Linked DNA regions of Saccharomyces cerevisiae S288C. Changing the gene in region 2 together with the main gene of any one other region gives a genetic interaction. Each region holds a gene or a part of one and is shown on either strand. Other genes may lie near its edges. The genes, in order: PCK1, MRF1, DRN1 and YLR012C.

What was found.
Region 1: mutations in MRF1 (region 2) and PCK1 together harm fitness more than expected from each alone (negative genetic interaction), as found in Saccharomyces cerevisiae (one large-scale study listed by BioGRID).
Region 3: mutations in MRF1 (region 2) and DRN1 together harm fitness more than expected from each alone (negative genetic interaction), as found in Saccharomyces cerevisiae (one large-scale study listed by BioGRID).
Region 4: mutations in MRF1 (region 2) and YLR012C together harm fitness more than expected from each alone (negative genetic interaction), as found in Saccharomyces cerevisiae (one large-scale study listed by BioGRID).

Annotation. Positions count from the first base shown.
Region 1 is NC_001143.9:629,204-634,080, reverse strand, and holds PCK1 (phosphoenolpyruvate carboxykinase PCK1), read right to left. Parts: upstream 2,930-4,877; coding exon 1,280-2,929; downstream 1-1,279. Other genes in the region: ubiquitin-specific protease UBP11, read left to right, coding at 1-1,055; ESL2 (Esl2p), read right to left, coding at 3,701-4,877.
Region 2 is NC_001139.9:233,105-237,820, forward strand, and holds MRF1 (Mrf1p), read right to left. Parts: upstream 2,855-4,716; coding exon 1,613-2,854; downstream 1-1,612. Other genes in the region: putative lipase ROG1, read right to left, coding at 1-1,403; GPI10 (putative glycosylphosphatidylinositol-alpha 1,2 mannosyltransferase), read right to left, coding at 3,165-4,716. UniProt on the Saccharomyces cerevisiae protein: Mitochondrial peptide chain release factor that directs the termination of translation in response to the peptide chain termination codons UAA and UAG.
Region 3 is NC_001139.9:668,142-672,958, reverse strand, and holds DRN1 (Drn1p), read right to left. Parts: upstream 2,572-4,817; coding exon 1,048-2,571; downstream 1-1,047. Other genes in the region: VAS1 (valine--tRNA ligase), read right to left, coding at 1-773; serine/threonine-protein kinase DBF2, read right to left, coding at 3,052-4,770. UniProt on the Saccharomyces cerevisiae protein: Involved in branched RNA metabolism, modulating the turnover of lariat-intron pre-mRNAs by the lariat-debranching enzyme DBR1. Enhances the debranching activity of DBR1 in vitro.
Region 4 is NC_001144.5:168,882-172,411, forward strand, and holds YLR012C (uncharacterized protein), read right to left. Parts: upstream 1,401-3,530; coding exon 1,101-1,400; downstream 1-1,100. Other genes in the region: LOT6 (flavin-dependent quinone reductase), read left to right, coding at 222-797; GAT3 (Gat3p), read left to right, coding at 2,458-2,883; PPR1 (Ppr1p), read right to left, coding at 3,387-3,530.

The DNA.
Region 1 (4,877 bases), on a different chromosome or scaffold from region 2:
CAAATAGATTCTTAAAAATGTGCAAGAAGTTAAGGCCAGATTTGAACATCCCAGATGATCAACAGGATACACAGGAATTTCTACTAATAGTTTTAGCACGAATACATGAAGAGCTCTCGAACGAAAATGTTGTCAAGTATTATCCAGATCTAGTGTCATATGATGCGAATGCTTTACAAGTTAACCCATCCAAATACGAGAAATGGTACGAGAGAAATGTTATTACTGATGGTTTATCTCCAATTGATCACATATATCGAGGGCAGTTGGAGAACATTTTGAAATGTCAGCGCTGTGGTAATTCTTCTTATAGCTATTCTACCTTCTATGTTCTGTCACTTGCGATTCCAAAACTATCATTGTATAGCTTTACAAGTAAGTCGAGAAAAATTAAATTAGAGGATTGCATAAACTTATTTACAGGCGATGAAGAACTGTCAGGCGACAATGCTTGGGATTGTCCTAATTGTAGAATTACTGATTCTAAATCCAAAAAAGAAGAAATTACTAGCCAGAAGAAAAAATCAACCATATTCGGTTTTCATTCCAGATCAAGGTCAAAATCACCCCACCATCATCACCATCATCACCATAGCAGCGATGATTCAACAAAAAATGCAAAGAAGCGAAATTCTAAAAAGTTAACCACGATTAAGAGTTTAGACTTTATAGTTTTACCTCCGATACTTGTCATTCATTTATCAAGGTTCTATTATGATTTAACAAAAAAAAACAGCACTGTAATAACCTACCCTTTGATATTGAACATTATTTTAAAGAACGGTAAAGTGATTCGATACAAGTTATATGGAACGGTGAATCATTCCGGTAACCTTATCAATGGACACTATACTTCTGTTGTGAACAAAGAAAAGAGCCATGAAATTGGACTGAATAGACAAGTTTGGGTTACATTTGATGACGATTATATACAGCAACATCGCAAGGATCGCAACAACTTTGAAGCCGGCAAAACAGAAATGTCTAGCGATGAGGTATACGTCTTATTCTACGAAAGAATGGATGAAGAGAACTATGAAGAAGAATTCTGTTAATTGCATCGGATTTTTGAATTTTCCTTATGTATATACATAAATATGTTTGAAAGATTAATTAGAAAAACATGTGCTTGTTGATCCAGTTTCAGTTATTAAAAAAAAGCTGAAATGGGAAGAGAAAAAATTGACAAAATAATATATTACGAACATTTATGATGTCGAAATAATTCTAATTCTTTTTTTTTTTTTTGGATTGAACATATCGAACGAACATGTTTCGTTTACTCGAATTGAGGACCAGCGGCTAATACATCTGGTGTGGCTCTGTCTTGATAAATCTTGAAATTTTGAACAAACAAGTTGGCCAAGTTGGTAACTGCACCTCTGTATTTGGATTCACCTTGAGACCAGTTTTTAGCAGGATTCAAAAGCTCAGCTGGAACACCGTTAACCTTGGTAGGTACTTGAAGATTGAAAATCGGTAAAGTTTCGTACGTTTCATTGGCTAACGAACCATCATGAATAGAATCCAGAATGGCCCTTGTGTACTTCAATGGGCAACGTTTACCACCAGATACGTAGGAAGAACCAGTCCAGCCGGTGTTGATTAAGTACGCATTAGCTTTATGTTGAGACATCTTTGTAGCTAACATGGTTGCGTATCTAATAGGGTGCAAGGCTAGGAAGGGTTGTCCGAAACAAGATGAAAATGTTGGTTCAGGTTCAGTGACACCTTGCTCAGTACCAGCCATTTTAGAAGTGTAACCAGAGATGAAATGGTACATGACTTGTTCAGGAGTCAATTTAGATACTGGTGGTAAAACACCCGAAGCATCACAAGTTAGCAGGATAATGTTCTTTGGATGAGAGTCCGCCAAACATGGAATCTTGGCACTTGGAATGTAGTCAATTGGGTAGGCACATCTAGTATTTTCAGTAATAGAAGAGTCGTCATAGTCGACTACATGCGACTTCTCGTCATAGATAACGTTTTCTAATACAGAACCAAACTTGATAGCGTCGAAAATTTCAGGCTCCTTTTCGGCAGATAAATTAATACACTTGGCGTAACAACCACCTTCGATATTGAAGACACCATGGTCGGACCAACAATGTTCATCATCGCCGATCAACAATCTATGTGGGTCTGCGGATAAAGTGGTTTTCCCGGTACCACTTAGGCCAAAGAATAAAGTAACGTCACCGTTTTGAATACCCTGGTTGGCGGAAGAGTGCAAAGTTAAAACGTTATGGTGCACAGGCATCAAGTAAAACATAACTGTGAAAATACCTTTTTTCATTTCACCGGCGTATTCGGTACCTAAAATGATCATTTCCATTGCTTTGAAGTTAATTTCTATAGTACTCTTTGAAGACATATCCTGGGTGTGTAAATTGGCTGGGAACTGACCAGCGTTCCAGACAGTAAAATCAGGTTCTCCAAAATGGGCTAATTCTTCTTCTGTAGGTCTAATAAGCATATTTGTCATGAATAAAGCGTGGTAAGCCCTGGCACAAACAACGCGGACTTTGATTCTGTATTTTGGATCCCATCCTGCAAATGCATCGACAATATAAATGTGGTCTCTTGTTCTCAAGTAATCTGCAGCTCTTTCACGGTTGATAGACCATGTTCTTTCAGAACATGGTTTATTGACCGGACCCCACCAAATTTCGTCTTTCGAGGTAGGTTCTTCAACAATACGTTTGTCCTTTGGAGATCTTCCGGTTTTAACACCGGAATAAGCGATCAATGCACCGCTTGATGAAATGACAGTTTTATTTTCTTTTAGACCATCTTCATACAAAACGGCAGCTGGAGCATTGCGTCTGATGGTGGTGACTTCGTCACTAAGAGCCAATTCTTGTCTGATTTTTTGTTCAACTTCGGAAGTAGATCCTACTGTAGCATTCATTTTAGAAGGGGACATGTTGTTATTTTATTATGGAATAATTAGTTGCGTGAGTTTGGTTTTTTTTTTTTATTTTTGAGTTAAACAAATATAATTATTGTTTAAGCTGAAATAAAGATATATATGTATATCTGGGAAAGGCTGTTGGTTATCTGTCTTACTTCTGTATATTTAAGAAGTAAGTAGAAATACTGATTACACATGGAAGAGAAGTTACACACATTACAAAGACTTCTCTGCCCTTATATACCTTTTTTTTGTGGTCTTCTATACTCTGCCCAATGTTGCTATCCCCAGCCAAGCCTTACTTAATACACAAACGTACCATTGTCCAACCAGAAGCGTCTAAGCTTTACAATCCTGTTTGGGCCCTTTATCCGCCTATCCATAATGTTAAGCAGCCTAAAACTTGCTAGTCTAGCCGGCATCTTTCCCTTGTATAACTTAAAATACCCGGAGCTTCAGTGATATGTAGAACACAGCCGCGCCGGATGAAAGGAAGCTCGGTTTTTTCCTATTGTGAGTCAAAAAAAGAAAAGAGATGTATCCAAATTAGGAAATCCAGATCTCCATTCACCCGTCAGCGTCCCGATATTCTCCGGTGGATCGTGTGGGATATTCCGATTTTTTCCGACAAGGCCCTGGGTGGGGGCTCTGCCCAAGTGCTCTGGTCAGAATTGTATGGAAGTCAGTTGGTTATATGCATATAAAAGTATATATTAAAATTAAAGTGTTATTTATGGCGGTGAGTAGAATTGGTGTTGTTGTAAATGTACGTACAACGAACGATCAGTCTGTACACAGATGGCGCTGTTCGCCAAGTTTTGTGCACAAAGAAAACACAAATCGTGTGCTTAGCGTTTTTATTTCTTTTTCTTCTGCTTTTTTCTTCATGGCGTCGTCGTCAGATATCAGAACTACGTAGTTAAAGCGGCGAGGGGAAAGACGCGGTTCGCTGGCACTCTCTAGTTTTTCTTGCGCCTTCATTACGGATTCGATGACAAACTCGTCGACATGTGTCCTCCATGTTATTTGTTCTTCAAATTCTAAGTTCTCTTCGATGTGTGTCGCTACATTACCTGTGAATCTTAGGGGTAATACTTTATTCTCATAGTAAAGCTGCCTTATAGTTATTATACCTCTTGTGGCAGCCTCCATGACGTTTTCGTCCTTTGACTTTCGTAAAAATCTCAGCTCTTGGAATGTGGTTAAACAAATGGCAAATCTTAGCAGTCTGTTTTGAGCTAGCTTGAATATGCGTGCGGAATGTCTTAGCCAAGAAGTTGCATCAAAGACAAAGTATGTAGTTTTAAAATCTATTTCTGGATAATCAGATTTTATACATTCCAGAAATAGACCTTCATTTTCCTTTTCGCTGTTATAATTGATGTTGTCCTCTATGTTAGTGTTGTTGCTGTTCGGGACATACCATGTAGTGTAAAGCGAGGCGCTTAAAAATTCTCCATTTTTATCGAAGCACGTATAATCGGCACGAAGTTTCTTGTAGCCAACATAGTGGAAGATATTATCGCCCTCGTTGACACTTAGTTCCGGCACAGCGTGCAGATCAGTGTTGTTTTCACTTCTTGCCTCAGATATGTCAATAATACTTTCCAGGGCACCTAATACTGGTATATTGTTGTGTATATTGCACAAGGGTTCGAGTTTGAAGACTAAACTTCCCAATATATTAGTATTTTGAAATGATGAACGATATATCAACGGATCGTTTCTGATTATTACGCCTATTGGAAAACTTCTTGACAGCTCTCTAAAAAGAAATATGGTTCTGCATGCCCTTTTCCAGAATTTTTCACCATTTTCGTCCTTTTCATCAAATATAATTCCATCTGTCGGCGAATCCAATGCCATATAATCTTTTATACCGATTTCTTGAAAATTATCTTCACTACTAATCGAATGCGTATTCTTTTCGCAAATTGTGTCAAACCACAATGTTCCCCAA
Region 2 (4,716 bases):
GCTCTTTCAGGTAAAGGAGGAAGGAGAATTGAGCTTGCTGACTCGAAAAATGATACTTTAGGAATTTCGGAACCATTCTCCGTAGGAAACTTTTGTGGCGCCAGTATACTCAACATTTTAGTCAGAGGCGAAATGAAAGTTTTATTGAAGAAATCTTGATTCACAGGTGTTGAAGCATCATTTATTAGCGGTGATTTTTTGCTGTTCTCCTTTAGTTTCTGTAATTGCTCCAAGATATCATTATAGTCTAGGAACAATAGCGATGCGGTATACAATGGGACAATTCCGTCATTAATAGCGTTCGCATATACTGTCCTCCTTTTGAACCTACGCAAAATCTCTATCAAGGGCAGACCAGATAGCAAGTAGAGAAGCGGTTTGCCTACTTCAACATCATTTTCCAAACCCAAGTCTTGACCTGTTTTTCCAATAACCCCGAATGAAAGTAGTACTTTAATATAGGCGGGATTATCTGTGACTATACCTAAAAGCGGTGAAGCTAAAGTAATAAAATTTATTGGATTCACCTTTTTAAAAAACCAAGGGTAGACTTCATAAATGTACGCTATTGCGAAAGCCTGGATTAGGCCACCCAATGAATGACCTACAAAAGAAATCTTGCGGATGGATTCATCGTACAAATCCTGGATAATATATTCGGCCAAACGAGTACCTAAATACTTAACTCCCTTCTCAGTTTGACAGACATTTCCCCTATAACCTTTCACAACAATTTGTTCGTGGGGATAATTCTTTTGTGCTTTGTATATCTGTTCCATAATATACACTAGATCGGTCGACACATTAGAATGTAAACCATGTGTCAAAACTACAAGATGTTTCTTTTTCTGTGGTGTGGTAATCTGAACGGGAAGATTCCACAAATCCAAGGTAGTTAACCTGTTCACTGTAAGTTTAGGGCTATAAGAACCTAGATGAGATGGCAGATCATGCGGATTTTCTACTGACTCTTTACTAGTTCCAATAGTGACTTCGTAAGTGACGTTCGTATTTGTAGTGAACAATATTTGACTCATCACATCAGCAATCCATACGTATTTCTGTCGTATGTTATGTACTGAAAGTTCAGCCACGAAATCTTGTTGAGTTTGCACATTCGGTTCAAATTTGGGGTAATCAACTGAAGCAACTATTTTTTGGGAATGATGATATTGGGCAGTTTTTACATCGCAATAAAGCATGAATGGACCCATTAGGTACGCAGCTCTATACGATAACGGATTCATATTTCTCACCTTTAACCACAAGGAATTTAAATTCAAATCTGGTGGAATTTCCTCACCGTCATAAAGATGATAAGTAATTACATATCTCTCAAGTTCACCAACCTTCACTGAAGACTTGTAATGAAACAATATTTCATTAGTTGGTGTCAGAGACATCTTGAGCAAAACACGGTTCGTACTTCACTCTCTTTGTGTACTATTCTTACTGAACTGTTGAGGCGGTACAATTTATTTCACAGAGTTTTGCATATTTCGGGCATCTACTATGTGCGTCAGTTCTTACGTGGCGCAGAACAATAGAAAAGAAGATTTACAGAAGTGATAGATACGATATGATATTTACAAGAAACGAAAAGTTACGTTCGTCAGTTACTCTCCAATAATTCTTTTGCCCGTTCGGTGCTATCATATTTAGACATTGCCTCAATAACTTCGTCCAATCGTTCTCCAGATAACACACCTGGCAGGTCCAACAATGTGAACCCGCACCTATGATCAGTGATTCTGTTCTGTGGAAAATTGTATGTTCTAATTTTATCAGACCTATTGGTGCTAGAAACCTGACTCTTTCTTGCTTTTCTTTCTTTTTCCTCCTTTTCCAGCCTTTCCTTCTCTGCAAGTCTCGCTCTTAAGATCGTAAATGCTTTAGCCTTATTCTTGTGTTGAGATCTTTCATCTTGCATGGAAACAACAATTCCAGAGGGGATATGGGTTAATCTGACAGCAGAGTCTGTCGTATTCACATGTTGACCACCTTTCCCGCTTGCACGCATGATGTCAACTCTGATTTCACCAGGTTTAAATGTTCTTTCATAAGCGTCAATAGATTTAGCAGATTCGTCACCAATTTGAGGTAACACAACCACGGCAGCAGTGGATGTGTGCGTCCTTCCTTTAGTCTCCGTACTAGGAATTCTCTGCACCCTGTGAACGCCTGCTTCAAACCTCAAACGATCGTAAGATCCGGCTTCTTCAATGCTCAGAATGGCATCGATAATGCCTGACCCACTTTCGTTTTCATTTTTCGATATAATTCGATACTTCCATTTTCTATAGTTGGCATAGCCAATATACATATCCAATAGATTCTGGGTAAAAATCATGGCTTCAATGCCACCTACACCCGGTCGAAGCTCTAGTAAGCTAGGTTTATCTGCGAACGGATGCGGTGGAAGAAGTTTATTTACCAATCTTGAGGAGGTCGTTTCATATTGGGGGACCAGTTCTGCATATTCTTGTTCAGCCTCCGCCCTTAATGATGGATCAGATACAATCATTTCTTGTAAACTTTTCAATTCATTTAGTTTTTCCTTATACTCAATAAATGTATCAGTGAGCGCTGATAATTTAGCATAATGTTTCTGCTTATTCACGTCAAAATGAATGCCGCAAGAAAGGTCTTTGTCAAGATCTTTTAGTTCAGCTTCATACTTTTCCGCTTGCTTAACAAGTAACGGAGAGAGTTCTGTGTATTGTGTTGGGATGCTGCCGTTGCTCTTAGAGTTAGTCGTTGTTGATGTCAGTCGCACTAGTAACGGCAACTTGTGACCCAAAAAAACACCCTTAAAGATGGACCTCGAGGGGAACTGGAACTTTGAAAGCCACATGCTTGCACCAATGAAATATATTGTTCTGCTCTACGAACTTTTCATTCCTGAGATATTATAAAACATATGATACGCACTATTAACGCTCTGTATTTATCCTCCGAGCGAGCAAATCCTCCTAACAAGTATATGAAATACACAATTACTCAGCCTAGTACAGATGGCACAACGAGAAGTAACACATATATTTTCTGAGAGGCCTTATTGCATAATTATACACATATATTAATATCATGTAGTAAATAAATCACTAATAATTAAAGGCTTTTTCGCGAAATGAAGTAAACTGATAAGTGAAGAATACACAAATTTAAATATCTGCCGCTGGAATATCGCTATAATCGAATGGTAATTTATAATAAATTATTATGTCTCCTGATCTTCTTGAATCCCAGTGCGCAAGAGAGTTGAAGAATCTATTGTATTCAATGTATGATGAATCTTTCAGGAAATCCTTTAGAAATGCGTTTTCCATGTGCTCGAAAACAACCAAATATGTTGGCCATTCGTGGCTGTATGTTTTACCTGGACTCCTTAGATCCTTACGAAAAGGCGGTGGGAAATTTTTGTAAATGAATGCCGATATATCGTCATACAAATGGTCACTTTCATCCATGTAGGTCTCTAGTTTGGAGTAAGCCTCTGGGTCTCCAAGTAAATGCAATGGAGGGTTACAAGTAATCGACCACAGATCTTGAATGTCACTGCGGTGTAAATAGCTTTGACCAGGTGTCGAATGACAGGGCATTATGAATCCCAAACTATCTATTTCTGGCTCTTCATGTAAAAATTTCATAACTTCGATAGATCCAGATTCGTGGAATGTGTCCAAAAGTAATGCGATGAACACCGACACGAATGGAACAAGCCAGAGTAAAGATTTTAGGCCAGATAGTCTTTTCCAATAATCTCTATCAAGTCTCAAAAGGCCAAATGATGATATTAATATGAAAAGTGGCTGTAATGGGAAGATGAACCTAAATTCCTTATGAGGTAACGTAGAGTACACCAACAGATTCAACAAGATAGTGAGTTTCACTTGGAAAAACGGGTTTAAATACTTCTTTGGGAAACTCCTTTTGCTTAGTGGAAAAAATAATCCAAATGCAAAAGCGGGAATACTTGCACCTAATACGATAGGTAAGCTTTGAAAGAAATGAAAATGCCAAGGAGCTACCCCATAAAACTTTGATAATGGTGTTGTGAAATTGAATTTTAGAAATCGGAAAAAGGGAAACGTTACTTTTTCATAAAAATACATGTCGATAATTGCATTTGCAGTAAATACCAGAAAAAAAGACCGTAAAACTTTGGAAAATGTGATGAAAAGTAAATGATACTGCTTTTTGCCTACCAAGTTTAATATTAGGGAAATGCTGGGAATTACCCAAATAAGTCCACTGCTGGGTCTTTGCAAACATGCCAGAAATGCAAAAATAAGCGACTTAGTAAAAGATGACTCTTTTATCATTTGTCCGCCTGTCCAGTCCCAGTAGTAGAGGGCAATAGAAGTTAAAATCATTTCAAAAGAGTTGATGAACGTTCTTGTAATAAAAAAGCAATTAAAAAAATTAGTTAAACTTAAAAGCAGTGCAAACTTCGTAATCTCGGATAAACCGCTGCGTCTCTCCTCTTCCTCCTTCTCGTTTCTCTTATCAAGTGTAAGTAAATAGAGCTTTTGAACAAATCTTACGATATAATATTCCCCTATGGAAGCTAGTACTGCCATAACTATTTTTGGCGCATATATCACACCATAATATTCGAACGACCGTGTGACATCAAAAGGAAGCCTCTTCAAGTCTTCAGCGACTTGCCAACTTAACTCATATTTCGGCAGTAGTAAAATTAATAAATCAGAC
Region 3 (4,817 bases), 430 kb from region 2:
AAAGCTTCTCTTCCATAGTCATGTCTAGTCTTTCTGTCCTTAGCCCAGATTTGCTTCTCCACAACGGACTGAGTAGCAATACCAGCATGGTCGAAACCTGGCAAGAATAAGACAGTTTTACCTTTCATTCTGTTATATCTGATCAAAGAATCTTGGATAGCAATAGTCAAAGCATGACCAATATGTAAGGCACCAGTGACGTTTGGTGGAGGTGCTGGAATGCAAAATACACCTTCTGGTTTAACCTTACCATCAGCGGTAAACTCAGGTTCAAAAACACCAGTCTTGATCCACCAGTCATACCAAGAACTTTCAACGTTAGCAGGGTTATAAGCTTTTAAAGCCGGATCATCCAAGGATACTAAGATTTTTTTCTCACCTGGAACAGTTTTGTCAATAAATTCAGGGATTGGCTCAACTTCCTTCTTTTTCTTAGGTTTCTTTTGAGATGCACCTGTGGTGGCAGCAGCATTTTTTTTAGCTTGTTTGGCAGCGAACTTTAACAGTTTTTCAGCCTTTTTCTTCTCTTTTTCAATTTCCTTAGGAGTCTTTGGAGAGCCATCTTCCTTTAACGGATTAATGATGACCTCACCAGTCTTTGGGTCAACTGGAGGCAAATTATCAAGATCGCTCATTTTAAAGAACCTGACTTGATTATGAGTTAACGACTTCTTCAGAGAAAAGTTTTGACAAAGTGGTAATGATCGCCTATAATGACAGTTCAAAAGCCGAAAAGTGAATGTCTTAGATAATGTGTTTAACCACTTATTCATACCATCTAAGTAATTCCATAAATCTGAAGGACATACAACAACGATGACAGCCAGTGGTAGCACACACAGAGAACACCAGTAGGCTGTATGGGTGACTCTTCTAAAAAAATTTTTTCAGCGCGGTCTCTCGAAGAACTTTACCCGGTTTTTCTTTTAATTCATCACCTCTGAGTTGCTAGGTCTCTTAAACGTTCAGAGGTAGCATGACTTAGTATTCTACATATATATACATATATTTGGATATATTTGAAATTCTAAATGAAATAGTTTTAGTTTAGTTTTCTGTGAGAGAAATGTCATAGGTCCTGTAGGCCTTTTGAAACTTTTCAGCCTCTATAGTCTCTTGTTGCTTAGTTTGTAAACAGGTTGAAGAATTCCATTTCACCCTGCGTGGCAAGTTAAGTAAAAAGGCTAGTACACGTCGTCCAAACTGCAGATCTATTGTCTCACTGGCATTAAATGTGGCCAAATATATCTTTGGGTCCGCTTCAGGAGTCTCGTAGACGGTAAATTGTAAATAATTATTGGATTGGTTGTTAATTACATCCACATATTGTTTGGAAGAGTGTGAATCGTAACATTGGAACTCTAGCTTAGCATTTCTTGTGAATTTTTCGTTATTGAAATGAACCTGTCTATCTAAGGCACTGCAGAACTTTAGAACGAGGTATTTTGGAACGGGAATAACTTGTTTGTGGAAATGAATAGAACGTTCAGACTGTATTTCGAAGACAATCGTGCACATATCAAATTTTATGTAGTTCATCTTCACAAGACTAGCTTCATAAGCCAAAATACTCTGTGTCAACTCTGCGTTCTTGCTTGGATCTAATTTCGGAATATGTTCAATGGGAATAATGAGGCAATGGCCTGAGATATCCATATCACCCTTAGGAACACTTAAAGGTCCCTTCGCTGTGGTTAAATACACTAGTTTGCCGATTGATATTATCATATGATCCTCGAGGTTTGGATTTGAAAAGCAGAAATGACAACTTGACGGCAAAATCGTTCGAATTTTTTTATTTTCATTCTTTTCTCTATTAGCAAGTACCTGTTTGTCTCCATCGAACGAATTCTCTGTTTCTGTTTCTAGTGGCCTTTTATTGCTGTTTGTAACCACGCTATTATACGGGTTAGCTATCAAGTTGGGCGGTTCAGGTTCATCCTTTAGTTCGTTGTCCCCTATTGGCATATTGAATGCATAGGCCCATTTCTTTCCAGATCCATATTTTGGAATATTGAGGAACCTCGATAAGCGCTCTCTTTCCCACTGGAAAGGCTCTAATTCGTAAAAGTTTATTTCATCTGAAAAGGCAAAATGGTACCTTGCTTGTAACTTTTTCGCCAATTCATCAACAACTTCACTTCCAGACAACCTTCCACATCTCTCAGAGATCGAAAGGCCCCATTCTTTTGTAAGGAGAATGTCTACCTGATCCTCACTTTTGCCAAATTCGTCCAGTATGCTTTTTTTCTCCCCTTGAAGAGTATCATCCGGATAAATAAAATATGAAAGAGTGATTCCATTTGCTAATTTATAAGTACCCATATTATGCAGCAATGTTACATTTTCATTTATCTTTTTGGATTTCGAATTGTTAGCCTTATCACACGATAGTAGTATTAGTTGAGGTAACCCATCAGTATTCAGCTCAAAATTTTCATCATACGAGTTACTGAATATAATTATTAGATCAAAGGGCCCTGATTTTTCATTCACTTTCTTGATCTTTCTGATAGCCTCATCGGCATCGCTTTCACTTATATGAGCTACTAAAATCTTTGCATTTGTCATCCTATTTTTATATGTAAGTTTTTGAAGTGAAAAAGATATCAGTAAACCATAAGCCCTTTTTTATATATTATGGATCCTTCTAAGAGAGCTACCTTGCGTTTTTTGTACATCTAGCAATGTAGTATCAGTCCAATTTGTAATTATCATTGAAAAAACAATTGATGTTAACACCCATTCCTTTTCATTTTTTGCAGATTTTCGATTAATAGTGGTCATTGCTGTTTTCCTGTAAAACATTACCAAGTTTCGCCGCTCCCAACATGAATGCTTAAGTTTAGTTCAAAACGGTCATGGGATGGACCGTTACCGTGAACTGAGATTTTAAACAATGGGCTTGAAGTCCTAAGTAATGCACAACTATATATATATATATGTATATTTATGAAAAAAGCGTTCATAGGTGCTAGTTGAAAAGTTTGCATGAAGCTCGTTAAAGCTAATTATATCGCGGCGAATGCAAGACAAGAATTCATTTTTACGCTAGTAAAAGGTTGAAAAGGGGTCTGAGTGTTCCAGTCCGTTGAATAAGATGCCACTGGAACCCTGTTTACCATTTCTATGTCGGAAAGTGAACCCAACAAGTTTTGATGATACTGCCGAGTCATCTACCATAGCCGTTAATTTGTCTTGTCTTTTGAAAACATCAGCATATTTGGCCATGTCAGCCTCACTGGTGAAGTCATCAAAATAACCGGCATCAGTTTCGCTGTCTAGTTGGGGTGTAAAAGGCGGGATCATTGACCTCAAAGTACTAAAGTTTATATCTGCAAAATAAGACATGCGTTTAACATGTTCGAAGGATCTTAATCGATTGATTGGATCGGCAATCAATCTTGTTATTAAATCCCAAGTTCTATCGGAGAATGCTGCCCTCCCATCAGATTGTCTCGGTCTTCTTAAAGTTTGTTTCCAGCGCCTTAAGTTGTCATAGGTCTCATTAGTCGATGATCCACTAAATGGTGTATAACCAACTAAACTTTCGAACAGCATACAACCCAACGACCAGTAATCCACAGTAAAGTCATATTTCTTTCCTTCTAAAACCTCCAAAGCCATATAATCCGGAGACCCAACCATGGAGTTCGCATAATTAATTTCCTTCTCCCTCAACTGGTTGTACATTTTTCTTCTATCTTCTATAGATTTCTCTGTAAACGCTGGAAATTCCAGGTCCTTGATTTTTTCTAACCTTATCTTCATACTTTCAATTCTTTCATTAGAAATCGTACCAGCAGCCAAACCAAAATCTGTTAATTTTATATGTCCCTTGGCATCGATTAAGAAGTTTTCCGGCTTTAAATCTCTATGTGTATAGCCTAAATCATGTAACGCATTAACAGCGCAAAACATTTCACTGATGTAAAATCTCGCATGGCCACTTTTCAAGCATCTAGTATTTATTAATAATGTACGAAAATCACCGCCTGGTACAAATTCCATAGCCAGGTATAAACTTTGTAGGTCTTGGAATGCATACAGAAGTTTTACTAACCATTCAGACCTTGTCGTGGTTAGGATATCTCTTTCAGTTAAAACGTGTTTTGTCTCGTTGAGCTTAAACAATAGTTTTTTGTTCAAAATTTTCAAAGCACACACCTCTTTTGTGTCTTTCTTTCTGGCTAAATAAACTTGCCCATAACCACCTTGACCTACTTGTGTGATCATTTCAAAATCCCTATTTTTTGGTTTCAACCTTCTTTTTCTCAAAACCTGATGTTCCCTTTGTAAGTAAGAGGACCACTCTTCGTTGAGTTTAATCTGGTCAGAATTCGGAAGTTGGCTTTGCTGTTGCAGGTATTCTAGAACTTGCTTCGTGCGTTGTCTTCTACTAATTACATAGTCAAACATATCACAGTAATGTTCTAGAAAGTACATTTTGCAAACACTAACAACTCTCTGTGTTTTATTTGAAGTTGCTCTTTCGTAAAACTTTGGTGGAAGCTTCTTGGGAGAGTTCGAGACATCCATATCAGGTTGAGATACTTCGTCTATGTCCATGTTGGAAGTATCTTCGTAAGGAAAAAAGGATGGTTTTACCGGCGAAGGTGAATCATTGATACCCGCAGGCCTTGTCCTCCTCTTTGTTATATTTTGGTTAGGAAATAGTCCAGTGCCCCCAGGAGTCCCATGCCCATCGAAACTCAAATTGCTCATATTGCCTGCCAAGAGGTCGACATTTTTTTCTGATTTTGATAGCATATTAAAGAATTTTTCTTTAGCAAGGAATACTGTAGATGTTGCTTGAA
Region 4 (3,530 bases), on a different chromosome or scaffold from region 2:
AGTGGTGCCCCCGTTGTTTATTACCCGTCAGTATCATAACATTTGAGCATCTCACATGGTTACGAATGTAAATATGAATCAAAGAAGGTGCAAAATCAAAAAAAATCGAAAGATTTGACATGCCTATTGAAAAGGGAAAGTTGTATATCTATCAATTGTTAATTAGTTACTTGGTCATCTCCATTACCAGCTGAGGTGCTTAGTCGACAACCGCATTAAACATGAAAGTGGGTATTATAATGGGTTCTGTGAGGGCAAAGAGGGTATGCCCAGAAATTGCAGCATACGTAAAACGTACAATTGAAAATAGCGAAGAATTAATAGACCAGAAGCTGAAAATACAAGTAGTAGATTTACAACAGATTGCTCTTCCCTTATATGAAGATGATGACGAACTGATCCCTGCGCAAATAAAGAGCGTGGATGAGTATGCAGACAGCAAAACTCGATCGTGGAGTCGCATCGTAAATGCATTAGATATTATTGTATTCGTTACACCTCAATATAATTGGGGGTATCCAGCAGCCTTAAAAAATGCAATTGATCGTCTTTACCATGAATGGCACGGAAAACCTGCCCTGGTGGTAAGCTACGGCGGTCATGGCGGTAGTAAGTGTAATGACCAACTTCAAGAGGTACTACATGGTTTGAAGATGAATGTTATAGGTGGAGTGGCGGTGAAAATACCGGTAGGTACGATACCGTTACCCGAGGACATTGTACCACAACTCAGCGTGCACAATGAAGAGATCCTGCAATTACTCGCATCGTGCATCGAAACAACGAGGAATAAATAAACCATAAAATTTAACTGTAGTCGCAATAAAAGATGAAAAGCTAACACAATTATCATAGGACACTGTAATCCAGACTTTAATTAGTATTAAGTATTGAGTACAAAGTACAAAGTATTATACTAACGGTAGTTTGGGCTCTTCGATTACCCATACACTTTTAATGGACTAATTTCATCAAGTTTCATTCGAAAATTTTCTTAAAATATATATATGCGTAGTGGTATAGTATTCATATTTCATGAACTTATTTCATAAAAAAAGATAAAGCAAACCTAATATTTGGATCGGCGCTCGAAATTATTCTCAGTATTCTTCAGCATTAGACATCTTTAACATATCAATCTTTAAAAGGTTTCTTCTTCTTCTGTAGCTCGGAATATAAGCATTCATATATGACCATGTTGTAACGCGATCGAACCAAGCAACTTCTTCTTGTGCAAATTTCCTAGCAATACCAGGCACACCTCCTTGACGATCAAATGCAATTCTTTCAGTCTCTTGTTCAAAATCTTTTTGACATAAAGCCAGGTATTTTTCCTGTTGTTCAGGTTGCAGTTGAAGATACTGCTGGTAGGTGATTTCTTTGTAATAGACAGTCTTCATTTGAATATGTTCGAGACTTTTTCTCTTAATCTCTATGAATATTTTCTGTCTTGAAGCTGCCGTCTTCATAGAATGTTGTTCTATTATCCACCTCGAACATGGCCTTTTTATACGTTTTTACATTAAACATCCCCTTCATATTAGTTTGTTCTCGACTTAATTCTACTCATGCTTCTGACATTTTTTCATGCCAAGACCGGCCCTGAAAAAGGGTCCGGATATACGGATAGCGCCACACATTCAATTAGGGGAAGTATTATTTGATACATTGTCAGCACACAGCGATTTAACCCATTATTTGGCATGACAAGCAAGCTATTCGACAGTGAAAAATGCACAGAACATTCAAAATTATACTTATAATATGACTCTTTTCTTTTATTGCAGTTGGTATTATATACATATATATATATATATATATATGTATATGTTCCCCGAGACAATGGTTTTATTTCCAAAAAAAGTGTAAGTAAGTTATTTTCTGTGTATAAAAAAATAAAAGAAGCCAGATGAAGTGCCAGGTGGCGTACCAGGACTTCAGCTTTCTTTAGTTTGCATAATGAAAGTATCACTTACAGCTCCCTTGAAGGATTAGACGCTATTAACCCCGATGAAAACGCATCAACAAAACCTTTAACACAGTACTTATTTGGTGCAATACATACTCACACAAACACCTGTAGAAAATCCCCTTATATGAAAATCCCTTTTTTTTCTTGGCAAGTATTTCTGATAAAATGCGGACAACATTACCTGCTTAGCCGCCTGCCACAGAAAATAAGTAGGCTTCTCTGTAAAATGGAATAATAGGCTAGAGGTCAAAAACCTCCTCTTCAGTCATATCTATGTTTTTAAGGGTCTAGGGTCCAATTTGATGGAAAAGAACAAATGGTCGAGCATGTTAATTAATATTTGTTGCTCTGTTTGAAGAGTATATTATAAGACGAGAGGTTCTTTGAGGGAGCTTATCTTACCTTTTCTTGATTTGAAACAATTTCATTAAATGTAAACAATTATCAACTAGAAGCAAATATAAAGCCAGAAGGAAGAATTTGCTATGAACATTAAGACTTTGTGTCATCCAGAATATAAAAGAATCTCCGTTGAATCGTTATTGAATCCGGTAGAGGAGACAATAGACTGCGAAAAACCTCACTCTCAAACAAAAATCAATACTGCTAAACCCATTAGTGCATCTTTGTATGTCACAACGAATAATACTGCTGTTGTTCAGCACAATGTCCAAAAGAGGAAAGGCGTCACCAGGAGATGTCCACAGTGTGCGGTGATAAAAACTTCTCCGCAATGGAGAGAGGGTCCTGATGGAGAGGTGACATTGTGTAATGCCTGTGGATTATTTTATAGAAAAATATTTTTGGTTTTTGGCAAGGATCTGGCAAAACGGTACTTTAACGAAATAAAAGGTGTGAGCGTCAAACGAAAAGTTCCAAAGAGCCTCTATGGAGTTACAAGAACGCGTTAAGAGAATTTATTTCTGCTCGGAATGTTATATACTTATGTCAAAGCAGTGATTATACATTTATCGACTTTAAACAGTTGATAACGAACATTATGTGTTATTCGAAAGTCAAAGTGCCATACAAAACAAGTGGTTTCTCAGTTCTTGCAATTTTTCTTTATCAGCGTAGTCCCAGAAAAAAAAATCATCACTGGAAATGTAAGATGAATTCAAGTATCAAGTGCCGTTGGTATTATAGTTTATCAATTAATACGTAAATATATATATATATATATATATATATATATATGACTATAGTGGCATACTTCTCAATGGACTGTTGCTTCTATCATTTTATACATGCGTTCAACTTTGAAGATTATCACAAAAACCTCAAACTTTTCAATTAATCTGCCCCGGTCATTTAAGTTAGCTCTTTTAGGACTCTCATGTTTTCAAAAAATAGATTGAAAAGAGCATTGGTGGCCCTACTTTCAATCCATTGATCATGATTCTTCGAGCTATCGCTAAAATATTCCACCGGATTCAGAGTTCTTTCCTTTACTGATATCGTAAGAAGACTCGCCTTCGTTTCCGTTACCAGACCTGACAAAAAACTCATCCCATACAGATCCCGAAGTAACCTGGAAAAGGATATCCATGATATCTTG